Drosophila melanogaster: one gene and its partners. The protein of the gene in region 1 interacts with the protein of each later gene in a pairwise test. Each region holds a gene or a part of one and is shown in the gene's direction. Other genes may lie near its edges. The genes, in order: Osi6, Cyp6a22 and obst-A.

What was found.
Region 2: the proteins of Osi6 (region 1) and Cyp6a22 interact in a two-hybrid assay, tested with the Drosophila melanogaster proteins (one large-scale study listed by BioGRID).
Region 3: the proteins of Osi6 (region 1) and obst-A interact in a two-hybrid assay, tested with the Drosophila melanogaster proteins (one large-scale study listed by BioGRID).

What each region holds. Positions count from the first base shown.
Region 1 is NT_033777.3:6,230,887-6,238,057, forward strand, and holds Osi6 (osiris 6), read left to right. Parts: upstream 1-3,821; 5' UTR 3,822-3,849; coding exon 3,850-4,068; intron 4,069-4,696; coding exon 4,697-5,416; 3' UTR 5,417-6,295; downstream 6,296-7,171.
Region 2 is NT_033778.4:14,867,850-14,875,020, forward strand, and holds Cyp6a22 (cytochrome P450 6a22), read left to right. Parts: upstream 1-3,516; 5' UTR 3,517-3,680; intron 3,681-3,788; 5' UTR 3,789-3,953; coding exon 3,954-5,019; intron 5,020-5,086; coding exon 5,087-5,520; 3' UTR 5,521-5,616; downstream 5,617-7,171. Other genes in the region: Pcf11 cleavage and polyadenylation factor subunit, read right to left, coding at 1-322, 384-713, 779-994, 1,058-1,183, 2,200-2,382; Cyp6a17 (cytochrome P450 6a17), read left to right, coding at 6,131-7,171.
Region 3 is NC_004354.4:20,235,944-20,243,114, forward strand, and holds the start of obst-A (obstructor-A), read left to right. Parts: upstream 1-3,911; 5' UTR 3,912-4,034; coding exon 4,035-4,083; intron 4,084-5,118; coding exon 5,119-5,322; intron 5,323-5,667; coding exon 5,668-5,871; intron 5,872-5,941; coding exon 5,942-6,198; 3' UTR 6,199-7,171.

The sequences.
Region 1 (7,171 bases):
AAATATTTGCTGTGGCTCCACACATATACATATATATATATATATTGCTACGGATTGTATATATTCATCTGTTGCCCTGGCTGCTGTGCTGTGTGCAAATGGCTCACTTCTGACCACGACTTTCACCGAAACATTTTTGTTATTTATTCATTAAATTTTTGCCCCTGATGTTGCCCTGCGATGCTTCTGTTGCTGTCCAATAAAACCTGTACCTCACATACATACATGGCGCACACGAAATTCTTTTTGCATGACCACGGCTGAAAGACGAAAAAAGTCAAAATTAAATTTAAAGTCAATAACAGTTTTAGCTCGCCAGAGCAAACACACCCACAAAGTGGCAATTGATTGACAAAATACAATTCGGGCGAAAAAAATGTTCAGCACACAATGTGAAATTGTGCTACCAATTGGCCGAAACCTTTCTGTTTTCTACCTATTCGGAACGGTCCATTAGCTGATCCGTTAAGATATCGTTAAGATATATAGAACCACCAGAATTCCGAAATGCACGCCCTCGACGCTTTCGTCGCTTATGCTAATTGGCCAGAAATACAATAAAAGAAAAAAAAACTTTCACGGCTAAGCCATTTGGCTTTAATTTAATTCGAACGGCTAGAAAAAGGGCCTTCGCTGATAAATAATACAGTAAAATGGCCTCTGTGTGGGACACAACGGTCATCATCGTCGTCTTGGCCCGATCCACTAATGAGTCTTGGGCCCAAATTGATGTCAAGCAAAATGAAAGTGAGAATACGATGATATCTCCGCGGGCCCAAAATAATCACCGATTCGAACGAACGCTCCGCTCTTCGATCTGCTGATTGAAGCCCACTCAGCCATTGGCCTAATAAGTAGTGTAATTATTGAGATTTTCTTCGCGGTGGTGTTTGACTTGACCATCTTTTCGGAGGCTTGTGACCAACTTTCTTAAGACATTAACTTTTTGTAGGCAAGTGCATAATTTAAACGAGTGAAAACGCAAGTTCAGAATTGGCCAGAGATGGATGGTCTTAGTTAGAAACGTTGTTATAAATATTATCCAATTTTAAGTTCCTTTTTAAAATTTAATCTAAATGAGCTATGAATTTTGTACTTCGATTCTTAAGAAGTTCCTCCAAAGGTTGCTCAAGTTTTTTTAATCAAGCCAAAAAGCAGCTTTCCTTTGTGTCTTGTTCAACTACATAGATAAACATAAATATAGCAACCGGAAGATAACTTACAGAAATTACCCCTTTGTGCTCTTTAGGGAGGTAAATACCCCGGCGATTTGGACGAAGGATTTATGAATTGCCTGCTATTCGGATAGCCGAAATTTAAAAAAAAAAAGTGGCGAAAAATCGAAAGCTGGGTTCTTTCATGGACAAAATATTGACCTCCACTGTTTCAGTCAGTTTCTGATGTAACATAATGTACAAGTTGTGCGTTGTTTTTTTTTTCAGAGCGGCTCAAGACACTTGCGATTTGTTTACCCAGCTCGGGGACAGTCATAAACAATAACAGCAACACCTCAAACACAACAGCAATATCGAGCAGCAGCAACAACATGCCAGTTCCAACTACGAGCGAAATTCATTCATAAAAGCTCACACACTGGACACTTGGACGGCTGCTTGTCGCATGAATGGCCAAGCCTGTTCGCCATGCTCTTGGCCATTGGCTGTTGGTCATTTGGTAGTTGGTATATGGTAGTTTGGGAGTTGGAAGTTGGCACATGCCAGTCGCCAGACAAATGGAGGCGTTCACGCTCGGCGCGTGAACCGACATAAGTTCGACCGTTAAGACGGATGTGCAACGGCATTCGAATTTGCATGGCTTTGCAGCTCCGAACCCATTTGCATCCGAATGTGTGCCGATTTATGGCGGTCGAAGGAAACGCAAAGCGGAATTCCAGCCTAAAGATCGCATCACTTGTTTTGATTTTCTCCTCTGGGGAGGCTGCACCCATTTCGACGTTGATGTTGCGTTACAAAATGCCTCACACTTTTACCACTGCACGCTTATTTCGATTGACGTCACACGGCCAACTGAAAGCCGATTTAATTGTGGTAGCAAATTACACATACGCCCCATCGCCCATCGACAATTTGGCGTCCATTATGCGGATGATTCAGGGGTTTCGTAAGTCGCACCGCACCAGATCCGTATGATAGTGTCGGATGTCGTCAGTCACATACATTCACCTTGAAACGGGAGCTCGGATCTTTCCAAGAAAGCTACCATCCATCCAAGCACACTGAGGAAAATCGTCATGATTTTATTTCGCCGAATTCAATCGATTTCTATATGGAATTTGAGTTTTAATTATGTATAGTAAAGGATCATTGGATCATTGATTGCAGATTCTAGCGTCGCGGACGCAGAATAAGTTTGTGTCATCTTTACTGTATAATGCCAATTTAATATGCTATTAAAAGCTTATCAGAACTTACTGTAATTCCATCAATTTACTTATTTTTGACAGCTTGATAAAACAAATCAAGTAAATTTCGCTAAAATACAGCAACTATGTGATGATTTCGCCAAGTGCAGTAGTCCATCATCTGTGGGTATCTGGCGTCTTGTGCGCATCCGTTTTTGTTTGCTTTTCGTGTAATTTCTCTTTCATTTCACTTGAGCAATTGAAGCGAGCTGTTATTTGCACTTTTGCTAAGCTCAAATTGTTGACTAATGTGTCACAATTGCCGAGTCAGGCCGTTCCTTATGATTATGCCCGCAGAGGTGTTTTCACCTGAGTACTCGAACTGCCCGAAGGAAAAGTCCCGAGTAGGACGTGCCTATCTGGCCCTAGATCCCGGCTCCCAGATATCCTGTTTCCAGACCCTGTCCTGGTTAAATAACTGTCATTATATATCACACTTTATGTTGCGCAATAAAAACAGAACCACAATAAAGTCACGAAAATAAAAAGTAATTTCAAGACGCGCACATGCGGTAAACATAACTATTTTCGGTGATACCGGGTCGACGGGGGGTATTAAACGGAGATGACATACAGACCAAGGGCCAGAAATAACAGTAGTATGAAAATATTATACAGACAACTTTCATTTCTTGCGGCAAAGTGCCCAAAAAACAAAAGCGTTCAAAAAATTAACAAAATCCAGAAGAATATATGACACATATTATGGCGGAGGGGGGGGGGGCTGGCCCGGCATCCACGGGTTAAGAGTCGGGGTGTGTGGAGGGTTAACCTGCGCAGCACCTGTTTATCACTTCATGTGTTGTAATCTGTGAGGCTCCAGAAGAAACTACACCTCTTTGTCTGCGTGCGTTTGTTCGAGGAGATGGGCAGAAGACTCTGCGGGAAGATGCGTCTTCAGGGGTCTCTTCGCTGTGTGTGTGTGTGATGCGCGCATGTGTATGAGTGTGTGGGGGAGAGAAGACGAACAACCTTGGCTTTGGCTCTCCGATGGAAACTTTCTCGTGCTCTCACATTCAACAGCCCTGCTGCCTGCGCTGACGTCGACCGAAGACGAAGAAGACTCGTCTTCGCATGCTCATGCGCAGCGACTTTCTTTAATGCGGAAGCAGACAAAGCTCTGCCTGCGCTTGCCTAATGCGGCTTCTAAGCTCGGAGGCTGCTGAGAAAGAGAGGCAGCGCTGCGGTCAGAAAGAGAGGGCAGCTGCCGTCTTCGCAGAGTCAAAATGCCAGAAAGAGCACGCAGACACGTGTGGAAGAGGGCTCAGGCTCTTCGGCGACGGAGACCCTAGCTGTATGTGTGGGCACCGGCGCTTTTTACATAATTTTACGTTATGCCGCTGCCGAGGCGACCGCTACGTTGGAAACTCTTTAAAAACAGCCTGACAGCGGCGAAAAGTTATCAAACCGCAGCTTGTTCCATTCGAATGAACACACCAGTGATTTCGGTGGTGCCAAAGGAATTCAGTCTCAGAAATCACCAATCCACCAACCCAGCCACCAGCATGAAGTTCTTCGTTGCCACCGCCTGCATCCTGCTCCTGGCAGCAGGTATCTCTGCCGATCCCGTCAAGGCCGCTGAGGAGCAGCCCGGCGCCTTTGCCCAGTGCCTCGAGTCCGACTCCATCTCGTGCCTGCAGCTCACGGTACGGATTATCTAGGCCCTAAGGATTATATACCCCTATTACAAAACGAAAGATCAAAGCACAATCGAGAACAATTGCAAAGATGCTTAACAGTGAAAGTGAAACCAAAAAATCAATAGATCACCGATTACGTGTTGTCCCATGTGATCTAAAGGATACTATTGAAGTGAAAGTGAAAAACAGTTTCTTTACAGCTTCCTGTCAAGCTGCAACTATTTCGCAATAATCAATTTTGAAAAGAGTGTGTAGTTTGCCAAACACAATTGACACCTGACAGGAAGATGTGAAAACAACATTACCACTTAAAAGTGTTTTTTAGACTTGCCAGCTGCTCTAAGCACATCTCTTTTATATTTCCGAGCTAAAAATATATCATCGAAATTCTATTCTAAAATTCTAAAATCTAAAAACAGTTGATAACAACAAATTTTCCCTTACTTGCAAACTAAGAAATTATTTTAAATTTCACTCACAACTAAATTCTTCCTTAGCCACTTATTTACATACACATGAAGTCATATAATTATAACAATCAATCAAACATATCCTCAATGACCAATATTTTAGACTTTAGATCACAGTTTATTACAGTTCGCTCTAATTCGAAACCCCACTACCTCCTCCACAGCTCTTCCGCAAGGCCAAGTCCGTGTTCGATAACCCTCAGATCGAGCTTTTCGGTGGTGTTTCTCTGGTGAAGTCCAATGAAGGTCGTCAGGGCAAGTCCCTGGACAACTCCCTGGCTGTTGAGGCCGCTCCCACCGTGGAGGCCCGCACCGCCGAGATGGGCAACTACTTCATGGACAACGCCAAGAGCTTCTTCGCTGAACGCTCCCTGAACTTCAACTTCGCTAACGCCGCTCGCAGCGTGGCCCGCGCCATTCCCGATGACATCAAGGCTGATCTCCGCGAGCTGGTTGTTGAGTCCCGTACCCGCAAGAAGAAGCTGCTGAAGAAGTTCCTGCCCATCCTGCTGGGAGTTGGTGCTAAGATCGCCGTCCTTGGAGTCGGCTCCATCTTCGGACTACTGTTCCTGGCCAAGAAGGCACTGGTTGTGTCTGTTATCGCCTTCTTCCTGGCTCTGGCTGCTGGTGCTTCCAGCGGACTGGGACGCATCGGTGGATCCGGAGGCGGCGGCGGTCTGCTCGGCGGTCTGGGAGGTCTCTTCGGCGGCAAGAACGCCGGTGGATCGTCGGCTGCCAGCACCGGTGGATGGTCCTCGGGTGGTGGTGCCTCCAGCGCCGGATGGTCCTCTGGCGGCAGCTCGGGTTGGGACACCCATGGTGCCTACAGCTCGCCTGTGGCCCAGACCATCGCCTACCAGGGATACAAGCAGGCCCGCCGGTAAACAATTGGTCAAGAGCCAAATTAACCGAAGGACGAAGGCCAAGGAGAGAGAGAGAAACAATCGCTAAAAATGATGACCTATATTTATATTTATTTATAAATTATTTATTTTAATTTATTACTTGAACGAGAAGTACGAGACGAACAAAGTGCCTTCCATTAGACAAAAAAACAATCACTTAATAACAAGACACACCCAAACACCAAACACCACCTTTCATCCAGAACCGCCAATAACCTCCACAAAGGAATCTTTACTACTTTCCGCACTCCTCACTCTTCACGCTGTATCTCAATTTCATGGCTGCACCTTTGATAAATGGACTGCAAATCTTTGCGACTAGTCGATCCATCAGTCAAAGCCAGTCGCCTCGCCCATCTAACTGTATCTATCTCTCATCTGTTTCCATCTATCTCTGTTCTACGACTATCTCTATCTGTACCTCTACCTTAATCTATCTACCTATCTGTCTATCCATATCTGTCTGACTATCTGGACTTTCTCACTTTACCGCCCGGGAAAGACCAACCGAATGCTGCTAAATCAAAGAATCAAATAATAATTCAAACATAAAAAATACTTTACCAACACGACTCTCTTTTCTCATCACCACACAATTTTCATTTCGGTTTGCATACGCAACTCGCCATCACAGCCCTCGACAGCATCACTCATACGCCGCGTTGTCTAGCAAAGCATTTGCACGTGGATGGCGCAACTTTCATTTCACTTTTACCCGCCTCATTCTTCCTGCTATCAGCCTCCAAAAATCGAACTCTTTATGGGGTTTCTAAATTTCACCCACTTATTTCACTTCCACTCTTCTGCTTCTGGTAAACTCCATTTTCACTGTGAACAAAGGCACATATGAACAAAGGCAATTTGCTGAAAAATAAAACAAACATTTAGCTACGCGCATTTCGGTTCATTCAAGGCGGGGCACCATCGTATTGTATTTTAATATTTCTCCACCTGACGGAGCCCCATTGTTAGGCGACGCTTAGCACCTTTTGGCCCAAAGAAAGTTGTAAACGCCGTCGAAATGGGCCCGGCTCAATTGAGCCTAAGTAACTGAACTGAAATGAACTGAACTGAACTGCAGTTGCCGGTTGGCAGAACGGCACTTTACAGCCGCTGATGGCTGATGGGCCGATAGGTGCTTTACTTATGAATATGACCCACTTTGGGGGCTGGCTCATGGATGCTGTGCACATTGACTGCCTATTGGCTTTCTTCGTGCACAAATACGTCAGCAATTAATGTGTCGCCGAATGGCTTAAAAGCACTTTTCTATGATCATTGGGGCCGGTTGGTTGGCGTTTCGTTGTTTGATTTGCTTGCTCAGCACACAACTGCTTGGTTCTGCTTCTACCGCAGTTTACAACTTCATTTCGGGCCCAATCGTGGACTCTTCTCACTCTTCTTTTTGAATTGTTTTGCTAAGTGAAATTCCTAAGTAGTTCTCCATTGAAGGTGTCACGCTTTAAATCAATAGCTATTGTCCAGACGCACTCGTAGGAACACGCAAAGTCATTCCCGGTGATTGTGGAGGCAGTGAAAACAGACACTCCCAAGTCATTGAAAACACGGTCATTCCCGAACACAATCGTGTCACAAATGGGCTGTTGCTCAGAAAAAGGGAAAGTGCATGGCGCCTTGTGAGAAACCATTTGGGAAATGAAACTATTCCCCTGAACTGAGTTCTACGAAATGCATATTTATTCAAAGTGGGAAGTACCATAATGAATCATTTGT
Region 2 (7,171 bases), on another chromosome or scaffold:
GCCGAACATCAGAGCTCGACGAAGATGAGGAAGTCGTGGAGCTCTTTGACTCACTTCGCTTGCGGCTCGACGAACTGCTGTGGCTAGAGCTTCCACTCTTTCCAGACCGACTGCTGCTGTTGCGCACAGGCGATTTGCTGCGCGACCGACTAGACTTCTGTGAGGAGCTAGATTTGGCCTCCAGCCGAGGATCGTTTCGTGCCGGCGCAGCTGGATGTGAGGATGCCGCATGCATCTGGCGGGCTAGTCTCGGATCTCGTTGGCGCACCGAGTTCAACAGTGCCGGATTGACAGGATGGACTTTTGGTTTATTCGCAAAAAGCTGTAATTCCATAGTTGAATTAGATTTTTTATAGCTTCCACCATCATATTTCACAATTTACCTGCGGAGCCACTGGCATGTTATGCATTACGGGACCAACATTGCCCATTACTCCTGGAGCTCGTTGATTATGCACTGCTATACCGGGATCCGTGATTGGCGGACAAATTGCTGCTGGAGTGGGAGCAGGCATAATAATCGGTGCTCCAACCATCGCGTCCGTGGTTTGGGTCAGCTGACGCTCCTGCTCCTCTAAATGCTTTTTGGTTTGCTCCAGCTCCAGTTCCAGTTTGCGCTTCTTGAGCTCCAGCAACTCACGAGTTTTTGCTTGCAAAATCTCCTCCATGTCGCTGGTGATTGTGGGGTTACCAGGCATCCCAGGAACCAAACCCTTTTTACAATTGAATGGATACATTGGTCTAACTAAAGGGATTAATAGTTATTTGGGGCACTTACCGGTTTTAAGAAATCCGGATTAACATGAATGGCCGGATTGACGTGAATTTTGTTAGTTGGCTGTTTGGCAGTAATGGGCCAGTTGTTATCTAGGCGCTTCACCTTAACGTCCAGCGCGTACATCTTGGATGGCGGGAACACCTCGTTCCAGGTCTGACGCAGGGCATACATGCGTTCCCGCACCTTTTCCAAAACCTGCGACTGTGAGTGCTGGACCTGCAGGATTGAAATAACATTAATGAACCATTGGATTGACATTAAGAAAATGATTTCGCTTACCGATTCGAAGGCGTGGAGGAATATGTTGACTATGCACTGTCCAAACAATTGGACGTAGCTGCTTTTCACATTCTTTACTATCGAATCAATTAAATATAGTATGGGCAATTTAAATTCGGGCGCCACCTGTTAGAAGTTTAGTAAAATAGGTAAGAAATAAAGAAGAATAAGTGTCTACGGAACGTCGCTAGCGGAGATTCAAACGGATAGGTTGGAAGAAAACTAATGAGACAGGCCGATGGACAACACAAGAGCAGGGTCAGCGATCGTCCACCGAAGTCATCATCCTCATCTGCTGGTGGTGGGTGCCTTCATGCCAAGGCGGTCGAACTCAAACAATATCCTAGCCTACAGAGAAATATTTTCCTAAGCATTGGGTGTTGAATGAGGAAACGCGGTGTCTAAGGATCTCCAAACATTAAGGGTTACAGTGTTGGCGTATGATGTTAGCGGTCTGTTCCCTTAGCCGAGTGAATATGAATGAAAATCGCAGTGACAATGTGGCAGAAACAAAGGCTTTTACTACTCTTACGTATTATGGACATTTGTTTTTGTTTGGCTGCAGTTTTTTTTACTTTTACGAAAACTTGCACTTTTCTTTTTGTAATACAAAAATTGCTGCACATCAATTTTTTTTATATTGATTGTAAGCAGTCAAAGTTTTTGTATAAAATAAAAGACAACTTGGTGACAATTGTTTAAGCATTTTCTCTTTTTATTTATTTTTCAATATTTTTTTAAAGGTTGTTTGTTATTCCTTAGCTTTAAACTCTGGGATCCAAAGTAGAAAGAAATAAGAAACGAGGAGCAGGTTGGTTAAACTTCTTACCTTTGTAGATGATTAAAATCAGTCACGGTTTATAACCCAAATTATGAGATATATACTAAGATTATTAGGAACCTATCTACCATTTGTGCCCAAGAGTTTGCAGAAAAACCCAACTGAAAGAACCGAGTCTTAGAAACGCATATGTGTGGCCTTCGTTGGGTTTCTCTGCAATCAAAGGGCAACCGCAATCAATAAACTGCACATTCTATCACAATTTCGATATGGAGAATCACTTTTAGTGTCGACCGTCTATTAGCTGTGTGTAAGCTGGAGTGTCTTTGTTTTTAAGTAAATACGCTTTTGTTTTGTTAACCTGGCTGATGTAATATTCCACCACTTTAACTATGATGTGGGCGTAGTTGATGTTCTCCTCGGCAAGCATCGTGAGCATATTGATCAATGGCTTGCTGTTGCAGTTGAGGTCCTGGAGACTTGACAGATACTCCTCGCCGATCCTTCGCTCATCGTCGCGGTAATTCTGAAATAGCTGCTCCATTGTGGACTCTGTATTCCAGATCTTGATCCGGATATTGATCAAGTTATTTGGTTTGAAGTAGTCGCAGTTGCTATGTTTCGACTGCAAGGGAAAATATAACAAAGTAATTAAATGACATGAAAAGCAAAGGTAATTTGTGTGAAAAAGTTTGCACTATTAATGGGATTTTGTCGGGATATTTTGGATGAATAATGTATTAAGGTTGCGATGTTTGTTAGCGATATCTTCATCTCTGCCCATTTTATTTGTAATAAACCGTGATGCACTGAAATCTTAGGCTGCACTATGTGGATAGATAATCCTGTATACAGCGTATCTATGTATGTAATTCGTACCAGACGTAAACAATCACGCGCGTCCACAAACACAAGGTAATCTCTTACATATATACACACACACACGTACGGAATGACGACGAAAATTCAATATGGCGGCCATGAGCATATTTTCGCATGTGTGGCCTGCCCGAATAAATTAACCAATAAAGTGCTTGTTTTTCCTTTCTGTACATCGCATTTCACGCTTTCACGAAATATTTACGTTTTAGTGAAACTATCTCGTTGCTTAAATTGATTTAACGGAGATTTTCCCAGACAAAGCCACGTTTGTGTTACCACTACATACACACGCGAGTTATCAGTTCGACTTCAATTTACTTTTTCGCGCTGCAGAACATTTAAAAACATACCTTTTTAAGCTAATACATTTGTACAATCACTGCCAGACACTTTTGCGAGGAAAAAATTTCACAAAAGCACTGCTACTATATAAAAATTAGCTTTTGAAAACTCTCACGTAACAACTGCGATGTATTTTTGATGACTTACACTTAAAAGTGTGGCCGTCGACGTGAAATGGAAATTATACATTTTATACAATTTTTATTTAAGGAAATATACTAAAAATATACCATTAAGGTATTTTTTGCATTAAACCGCGTTGCCAACCACTAGAAATGTTAAATTTTAAAGTGCCTTTAAAATTGCAGTATAACTAATTAAAAAAGAAATTAATGTTAGAAGTGTTTTATTTATTTAGTTTTAATGCAATATGCACTATTTAATTTTATAGGCGTTGCCAATTGAATTAATATACCACCAGGTGGCGGTAGTGGGCGATCCGAAAATTAGTATTGTTTCTTTAACTTCATTTCTTCTAGCCAAGTAACGGGTATCTGATAGTCGAGAAGTTCAAGAAGACTATATAATAAGTCTGATATTAGATCAGATAAAAAAAGAAAGAAAAAAAACAGATAAGAAATGCAAAATTCTTATCATACTTTTAATTACGCTCATATAGTAAGCAGAGAATAAATGCATATATTGCATAGACTTTTTCTTCAAGGCGGGTGTTCTACAGTTATCTCTCACTATATCAATTGCATTAACTTGAATCACCGTTAAAAGCTCGTCAAGTCCGAGCTTCAGTTCGATTTGTTTTCAGTGCGCCTAAATTCTATGAGACGAGGTTATCTGCCTAGGTCTGTTTACACTACTGCAGCTGATTGTAAGCGGAGCGAATAGAGGCGTTGGTCCAGTGTTCAGTTCATAGTGAATCTATTCGGGGAGAGGATGCTGGATGTAGTGGCTCTACTGCTTATTGCCCTGGCAGTGGGCTTCTGGTTCGTGCGGACGAGATATAGCTACTGGACCCGGCGGGGCATTGGCAGTGAGCCGGCCCGGTTTCCCGTGGGGAATATGGAGGGATTTCGGAAAAACAAACATTTCATCGACATTGTAACGCCAATCTATGAGAAGTTCAAGGGCAATGGAGCACCCTTTGCCGGATTTTTTATGATGTTGAGACCTGTGGTCTTGGTCACAGATCTGGAACTGGCCAAACAGATCCTCATACAGGACTTCGCCAACTTTGAGGATCGGGGAATGTATCACAATGAGCGGGATGATCCTCTAACTGGGCATCTATTCCGCATTGACGGGCCCAAGTGGCGACCCTTGCGCCAGAAAATGTCCCCCACCTTTACCTCAGCTAAGATGAAGTATATGTTTCCGACGGTCTGCGAGGTGGGCGAGGAACTTACTCAAGTTTGTGGCGAGTTGGCGGATAATGCCATGTGTGGAATCCTCGAGATCGGTGATCTGATGGCTCGCTACACTTCGGACGTGATAGGACGGTGTGCCTTTGGCGTGGAATGCAACGGCCTCCGGAATCCCGAGGCGGAGTTCGCCATAATGGGCAGGAGAGCCTTTTCAGAGCGTCGCCACTGCAAGCTGGTCGATGGATTTATAGAGAGTTTCCCCGAAGTGGCCAGGTTTCTGCGCATGCGCCAAATCCATCAAGACATTACGGATTTCTATGTGGGCATCGTTCGGGAAACTGTGAAGCAGAGGGAGGAGCAGGGCATCGTGAGGAGCGACTTCATGAACCTGCTGATCGAAATGAAGCAGCGCGGTGAGCTCACCATCGAGGAAATGGCCGCCCAGGCATTTATATTCTTTGCGGCGGGATTCGACACATCCGCATCAACGCTAGGATTTGCCCTGTACGAGTTGGCCAAGCAGCCGGCACTGCAGGCAAAGCTACGCGAGGAAATCGACCAGGCTCTGCGGTTACACAACGGTGAATTCACATATGATTCCATGCAGGAGCTGCGGTACATGGAACTGGTCATAGCAGGTGAGCCCGACTCAAAACGAATTTTAAATATTACAAAGATGATACCATTTACCACTGTATCTTTTAGAAACCCTTCGGAAGTATCCCATACTACCGCAGCTCACTCGGATCTCCAGGCATCTCTACGCAGCCAAGGGCGATCGTCATTTCTACATCGAGCCGGGTCAAATGCTACTGATACCGGTCTACGGCATCCATCATGATCCCGCCCTATATCCCGAGCCACATAAGTTCATCCCGGAGCGCTTTCTGGCCGATCAACTGGCGCAGCGACCCACCGCCGCATGGCTGCCCTTTGGCGATGGACCGCGAAATTGCATTGGAATGAGGTTTGGCAAAATGCAGACGACCATTGGCCTGGTCAGTCTGCTCCGAAACTTTCACTTCAGCGTCTGTCCGCGAACTGACCCAAAAATTGAGTTTCTCAAGTCCAACATTCTGCTGTGCCCCGCCAACGGAATTTACTTAAAAGTCCAACAGCTTAGCCAAATGAGTAGTTAGTGCTGCTTATTAAATCGCTATCTGGATTGTATTCTAACATTTAGTATCTACATTTTACAATGCTGTTATACAAATACACAATCAAATGTTTTTATCAATCAACGTAGTAGGTACAGTAAAACTGCTGTATATCTAATCAAGCTTCTTGAGCTTAATTTGTTCGATTAAATATTTGTATTTCGTCACTGACGTTATCTTAGCATTTCACCAGTTCCAGGGATTTTAAATAATGAAATCTGTTTTCCAAGTTTCATGCTTAATTTGTACATTTACGTTGGCAAAAACCAAGTTTGCAAAGAATGCAATAAAAATTACTGGAATTCGCTTTGTTTATATTTTTTTGATTGCGTAATCGCTAGATTGTTTATATACAGAGATTGTATGTATATAGATTGTTTGTTCATATATGTGTATACAACCATTTTAACTGCGCATATGATTCCCTAATTATTATTTATCACATTGAGAACAAACCTTAAGAGAACTTGAACGGTGAGTTTTGTGTGTGAAAATGAGAGATTGGCGAAAAGAGCGAAGTCCTCATACGCGAATGAGCTTGCGTTGTGGCATCCCACTTTAAAGTCAGTTTGTATTGGACTCTGGACGTGAAATGTTGTTACTGGCGCTAATCGTTGTGATACTATCACTGCTCGTCTTCGCGGCCCGACGACGTCATGGATACTGGCAGAGAAGGGGCATACCGCACGACGAGGTACACCCGCTTTTCGGAAACATCAAGGACTGGCCAAATAAGCGGCACATTGCCGAGATCTTTCGGGACTATTACTTCAAGTACAAGAACTCCGATTACCCATTCGCTGGATTTTTCTTCTTTTTCACCCGCACTGCTGTGGTCACCGACATGGAATTGCTCAAGAGGGTGCTGATCAAGGACTTCAATCACTTTGAGAATCGGGGAGTCTTCTACAACGAGATCGATGATCCGCTGTCGGCCACCTTGTTCAGCATCGAGGGTCAGAAGTGGCGTCATCTGCGGCACAAACTGACACCCACTTTTACGTCCGGCAAAATGAAGAACATGTTTCCGATTGTTGTGAAAGTTGGAGAAGAAATGGATAAGGTCTTCAGAAGTAAAACCGCTGCGGATCGGGGTCAAGTTTTGGAGGTTGTGGATCTGGTGGCACGGTACACCGCCGATGTGATCGGCAACTGCGCATTCGGTCTCAATTGCAACAGCTTGTACGATCCAAAGGCTGAATTTGTGTCAATTGGCAAGCGGGCGATCACCGAGCATCGCTACGGGAATATGCTGGATATATTCCTCTTTGGATTTCCCAAGTTATCGCGCCGCTTACGTCTGAAACTAAATATCCAGGAGGCAGAGGACTTTTACACCAAGATCGTGAGGGAAACCATTGACTACCGTCTACGGACGAAGGAAAAGCGAAATGATTTCATGGACAGTCTGATAGAGATGTATAAGAATGAGCAGTCGGGAAATTCGGAGGATGGCCTGACCTTTAACGAACTTCTCGCTCAGGCTTTCATATTTTTTGTGGCTGGGTTTGAGACAAGCTCCACGACCATGGGATTCGCTCTATATGAGCTGGCCAGGAACCAGGATGTTCAGGATAAACTCAGGGAGGAGATTGGCAATGTGTTCGGCAAGCATAACAAAGAGTTCACCTAC
Region 3 (7,171 bases), on another chromosome or scaffold:
TACTTTCCTTTGCTCGGCCAAAAAAAAAAAATCAATAATCCAGCGATTGGACTGTGACGTCTTTTCGCCCTGGCTGCGTTTTTCAACTTCCTTCTCTCACTGCTCTTGTGATTTTTCCATGAAATGCACAAAAACCCACCTCTTGACTGTCTTTACTCGTTGTTCGGCTGCTTTTTAAGTACTTAAATCATCATTTTTCAACAATGTAAAAATGCGACTGACTTTTAATGTTTTGACTAACTAGAGATGGAACATCGCCCACGGCCAGTTACTTCGCACAGTTATTGGCACACGAAGGAGATAATGGGCGCGGCTGGTTTACATAGATGCCCAAAGGGTGTGGAAGACTAGGATTCTTAGCGGGATTCCGAATTCTTAATTAACACAAGTTTAAACACAAGAATAAGATTTTACTACTGTACGGCGATAGCTGTGAACAGCTGTCGTGACAGCGATAGTTCCAGTCTTTCCATGCACTAGCGCAGCGATCTGGCAGCACTACTGCGTTTAGCAGAACGCTGTTAGTTACAGTTACATTTCACATACACTGCAACACACTTTATATTTATTAATATTTATATTTATTTATGGAAGAAATCTACAAATCATGCTTAAATAGAGCTTCAAACTGAATATATATATATATATATATATATATATATTATATTATATATTATTAATTATTAATTATTAATTATTAATATTAATTATAAATATATTAGATTAATATATAATTATATTACCATAATTAATAATAGGTAAAAAGTATGTTAATACAGAGATATGCCGCATTTTAAAATTGTTATGTTATAGGTGGCTTACAGTTATCATAAAAAAGTTTTGCACACTCACACACATGCACTATGAAATATCAGTGTTGCTTTCTGAAGCGTAACTTTTAATTTATAGATTCAAGAGAGGTATCTGTAGGTAAATTCGAATTGATACACAGTACCTTAATGATAATACACTGATGTCCCATATGCATACAAAATTAAATAATCCTTTTAGGTCTAAAATTCAGCTAAAATTAATGCCCACAACCTGTGCATTTGTTTGATTAAAATGCTGAGTGTGAAGTACTACAAAATGTAAAAATTAATTAATTAAGAAAGGTAAGCAAGACTATTCTTGTAAAAAATTACCAATACCGCTGAAATTCCCATAGTGACTCAAAACTACTGAGCTTACAAAATACGTTCAGGGTTCTGAAAGTATGTACATACATACGTATGTACATATGTATGTAGATATGTCGTGTTTTAATTGCCCCTCCAAAGTGCCAATTACATTCAATGCGCGTCTTTGGGCCAGTGAAATCACCAGAACCCGCCGTGGAAATAGAAAGCGCACTTAGGCGATGTGTCTTTCCACAATGTATGCCATAATTTGTGCCACCAATGCCAGATGTTGCTGCAACGCGGGGCGCAAAGCGAATCCAACAGTAGTACGTGCCTTCGGTCGTATCTGAATGTATCCGAAAGTATCTGAAAGTATCTGAAAGATACCGTATCCAAAGTGCCAAGGAAGAGGTTTTCATGGGGTTAAAGCGCCCATGAAACTTTTGGGGATTTTATTTCGATTCGATTTGGCGCATCTGCACATCTGCACATCTGAATTTAAATGCCAGCATTCGACGACCCAAAAACTGTAGTCCGAGTTGCTCGTTTCGTAACCGCATTGATAAACCGGACTCGAACTGGAATCGCTCCGATGATCCCCCATGCTGCAGTAAAAACCTTGAATTGCCAAATCTTCGACTGCTCAACTTTTTGCTCCAGGCCGACAAATCTTGCACATGGGCGGGAGTTGGCAAACCGATGAGCGGATACTTAATATCTTCGCTTTTTCCCCGCGCTAATTGCCAGGCCAAACCTGTCGCACCGAAGTCGAGATGCCAGCGCGATTAGTTTACAAATTAATTTGCCAATTGAATTTCAGATTTAGACGTCTGGCCGGGCTTCCAAGAACCACCTCCACCTGGTTTCCACATGGGATCGGGCGAGAGTAAAAGTGTATTGTTAATTAGCCACTACACGCCGCCAACCTAAACTAGTTTCCCAGCCCGTCTGGTTTGGCCGCATCTCCGATCTCCGATAGCTGATTATATTTTCATTATTTTTTATTTCTTTCCTACTCCGATCGGAGCGGATCGATCGCATCTCCCAAGGACAGCGGCTTTTGGGTCATTGCGTGGCCGCTTAGCATATTTATGCATATATTATGTACATATATTACCGGCATGCTCCGCCGCTTGGCCGCTGGAAGCATCGGGATGACACAGTTTTCCATCCCATGGGCGTAGCTCCTCGGAAATGGCTACACCAAACCAACCCCCCCCCCTCCCCTCCCCCACCAATCACCTGTAGACCAGTTCCCAAGCAGGCAAAACTAGAAATTCTATATTGTATCAGGCATTTCATTGGATTCCTATGGATCACCATGTTTCTAATAGATATACAACATTCAATTTGTAAGATACATTTATTACATTAGTACTTGCTCTTGTTAATTTCATCATATTTTAATATTTCTAAATGATAGTTTATAAAAATGTGCTCTTATTTCAATTATACATATATAATGTATATTATCTTACCTTATTTTACCAAAAGTAATAATGCTAAATTTTTGATTTGCGGGAGTGGCGTTTAAGACATTACCTTCCAACTAATTGGGTGTGTTACTCATTACCAAGTCTTTCATCCGTCCGTCTGCATATATGCAATGTATATATAGTATAATTTAAAGATACAGATCCAGACCGAAACTACGCCCATGGCGTGTCCTCTTCAGCCTTGAAGTCTCAATTTTTGGCTGGCACTTTGGACGAAAGGACGGTCTTCCAACTCCAACTCGTCGCCAAATGGATGGTACCTGTTTGGCTGGCCTTTTGGTCGATCGATGTAAGCCATTTGCATGCGGACCATCAACCCGGCCAACTCAATTCGAGCCAACTGAATTCGGGGATCGTTGACGCATATGAATTTATTTACGTTCATTTTCGTGTGTGTGTGTGTGTTGCTTTTTTGGTCACATCGACACACTGATCGCAGGGAACGCATACCCTACTCGAACCGCATCCATCGGTCGCTCGATCGCATTTGGTTATTTGACGGTCAATACCCGGAAATGTGCAGCTGACCAGATGGCTTACAAGCTGGAATTTTGTATTTTTGCACAGGGTCAACTATTTATTACTCTATATGCCTAAGAACCACCCATTTTTAGCATATAATTTTATTTTTAAGCGAAACAATTGAATTGAAACGCTAATGGAAATCAATTTAACATCTTCTCTACCTGCATAAATGACCGCTAGATGGCTCTGCAGATCAAGATCACTAAAGAATTTGCGGCATTAAAACTGTAATTATACGATAAATAACATTGTTTTTCTTTTTTTTTAATAGCCTTTGAGTATTCTTAAGAGTTCGCTTACAAATACATAGAAGCATTTCCTAATTCTTCCAAGATTTCGATGTAATCTCCAAGTCATCTGATACAGGTGACGCCTTCAACACAGTTGATCAATGCGCGGCCTGAAGAATTCGCGTGGTGCACATTAAGCTAGGGCATCTGGCCAGCGGTTTTCCGGTCCTCGCCCCTGGACTTTCTTGTTTTTGTGCCATTACATCTCTGGCTCGCCTTTCTTCGTCGCCTTTGGAGCCCCGGCTCCATTCCATTCCCATATCCAGTCCAGCTCCAGCCGCAGCTCGTTTGGCCTGGCTCGGTTTCGTGTGGTAGTAGTAGTAGTAGTGGTGGTGGTGGTGGTGGTGATGGTAGTGGCAGTGGCAGTGGCGGGGGCGGTAGTGGCCCCGCCCATTGGCATCACTCTGCCGCAGCCGACGGCGTCGTCGCGTCGTCGGCGACGTCGAGCAGAGCCGGTAAAAAGTCTTGAAAAGTGCGCCTCTTTGGCGTTCCGTTGTTAGTTTAGTTTAACCATCGCAGCGCTTGAGTCGCGATTAGTTGCTCAAGTATCCAGTTGCCAGGATCGTTGCTCTGCTTTTTTTTTCTCAGACCCCGAGTCCAAAATGAAGTTATTTTTATGTGCCATTGCTGTGACCCTGTGTGTGGCGACAAGTGAGTGTGAATCAATGGATCCGTGGGAATGGATCAATGGATCGTTCAATGGATCAGTGGTGCCCAGTTCAAGTGACTGACGACTGACTGGCCAGTGCCAGCCCATCCGCCAAGTCAGAGTCGCAAATTGTTGCTAATTACTTTGACACTGACACCGAAATCAAGACTCGATCTCGATCTGCTGCCGCTGTGTGTTTTGGCCAGCTAAGTAGCTAAGTAGCTAAGAGCTAAGAGCCATAAGTAGCTAATCATATTTAGCCGTCTCGCAAGACTGGGCCTCAGACGCAAATGTTGAATCTGGTCGCGATTGCGGATCTACAGGCCACATGCAGATCGAGATGGAGGGCCGTTTTCCGTCTGGAAAAACTGGAATGCTGGCCAAGCCCAAGATGCTGTCTGGCTGTCTGGGCCGCTGGGGTTATGCAACTCATGCAGTTTGTTGGCCAAGTGGAAAACGGCTCTTCTGGGCCGCAAGAGAAGTGCATTGAACCCGGACCGAACGTCGTAATCTTGGCATTATGCTGAGTATGAAGCCTTCTCTGACATTTAAATTTCGACATTTCGAATCACTTACCGGTGTGTTACGGAAATCCAAAGAATTCGCGTAGTTTGAATTCCCAATTTCGGTTGTAGAAGATATTGTCAGCATAGCGAATGCAAAGGTGTATAGAAGTATGCAGTGATTTTCGCATTGTATACATTTTTTATAGCTATCCTTTAGGCGCCCAAGTAAGAGATTTCACATTGGTTGAGTAAATAGTACTAACCTATATCTAGCTTACCGAAGTCAGTGGGATTCTGGTCAAATGTATCAAGCGATAGCAACCTGTTCCAATGGAAAACCACTGATCATTTCTTGGGCCACCGGGAGTGGTGGCAACCAGGAAACCGCAAATGCGGAATTGCCATCGGTAATCGAACGTCGTTCGATCTGTTACACTTTCGAGTGCGACTGGGGGTCGCCAGGAAAGTGAAAGTGGGAAAACCAGTTGACTGAAGTGCTTGTTTCTTTCCTTTGTTTTACCCCAACACCAGCCGTGTCCGCCGCCAACTTCGAGTGCCCGAAGCCCAATGGCCAGTTCGCCGATGAGGTGCAGTGCGACAAGTTCTACGTCTGCGACGACGGAGTGGCCAAGGCGAAGCTCTGTCCCGATGGCCTGGTCTTCGATCCACTCAACCGCAAGTTCAACAAGTGCGACCAGCCCTTCAATGTGGACTGCGAGGACCGCACTGAGCTCCGTAAGTAGCCCATCCCATCACCATTTCTATTTCTAGGCTATTGTTACCGACCCCTTGGGAATGGTCACGAAAACTATGTCAAGGCAGAGCGCTAAACAGGTTATTCCAATTACATCATTACATCACCATTAACTATGTAGGGAGTTAAATTTAAATTCGCCTCTTAAGTTCAAATTTAGCTTACTAATGAAAGCATCAGTTGAAAGGATGAATTTGTAGCATACTTTTGGACATCTCTATATTTAAAGCAAATACACCACTACAATGAGCTATCCAAAAGTTATGTAGTTGTGTAGCTCCTTTGGTAGACGGAGGAACTAACCCTGTTCGGTTTCCCCTTCACAGAGGAGCCGAAGTCCAGCAAGTACTGCCCGCGCAAGAACGGCTTCTTCGCGCATCCCGATCCCGCCGTGTGCAACATCTTCTACAACTGCATCGAAGGCGACGCCCTGGAGACCAAGTGCACCGTCGGCCTCCACTTCGACGAGTACTCGGGCACCTGCGTGTGGCCGGATACCGCTAAGCGCGAGGGCTGCAATCCGGAGCAGAGTAAGTGGACCGATTGAGTCGCCGTGCGGCGGAGTGGGCTAATGGTCTGGCATGTGGTGTGTACTTTCAGGAACCTCCGAGACCGGCTTCGTGTGCCCCAAGGATCAGCCAAAGACCGACGATCGCGGCCAGGTGGTGACCCACCCCAAGTATCCGCATCCCACCGACTGCCAGAAGTTCTACGTGTGCCTGAACGGCGAGGATCCCAGGGATCTGGGCTGCCAGCTGGGCGAGGTCTACAACGATGCCACCGAGATGTGCGATGCTCCCGAGAATGTGCCCGGCTGCGAGGACTGGTACAAGGATGTGGACGACAAGAAGGACTAAGCCACTTCCGGTCGCTTCTACTTCTCCTCATCACATCCACACTCACAACTCATGCACATGCACACGCACACACAAGCACACTGAAAGAAATTATCAATCAAATCAAATCGAAACAATTCGAAACAAATCAACACACAGATTCGCGTCTTAGTCACTTAAATTTAGTAGTTCTAGCCCATTTCCTATAGAGCGTATGTGTAGCAGTTAAACTTCAATACTCTGACCTATCTATTTCTTAACTATCTTTCTCTATATCTGACTACTTCTAACTACTTTTCTAACTACCCAAATCTCCATTTCTGTGCCCAACCAAACGCTGCCAAATTGTTGTGTATATATTTCCCGCTTTCAGACTTTCGCCTTATTATTATACAAAAAGAATAAACTGAATTTTTTATAAACTATCTATATCTATCTATCTACTATAAACTATCTTCCCAATCCCAAGACTACTACTATTCCATATACTGTTTCAGCTATCCTATGTGATCTTCGCCTAAAATTTCAATTTCCCTCATCTCTACGTTACTCTACTTAACTTCTTATCATATTCCAAAACCAATTTTCTGTCTATAAGGAAACCCACTCTTTACAAACTTTTGTCCTCCTAAAATTTTCAAACTTGAATCTTTTCCGTTCTCTTTTCTTGATTTCTTTCTTTCTATCTTTAAAATTTCAATTTAGTTCGTGTTTTATTGTTTTGCGAACTGTTACGCTACAGTTTATTATTCCTAAAATGCTCCTTTTTTAAGCATTTCAATCCTGTAATCTTGTATTTCACTTCTACCTCAAGTTTCAAATCTAAATCTTTTCTATACATTCTATCTTCCTCATAAATATTTCCTTGTATTTCGATTATACCTACTGTATAAATACTCTTTTAGACTATGCTATATGTTATTTATTAATAAACATCTTGACTTGCCTGCAAAATCCAAACGATAAGAAATTTTCACGTACCTTATTTAAGTAA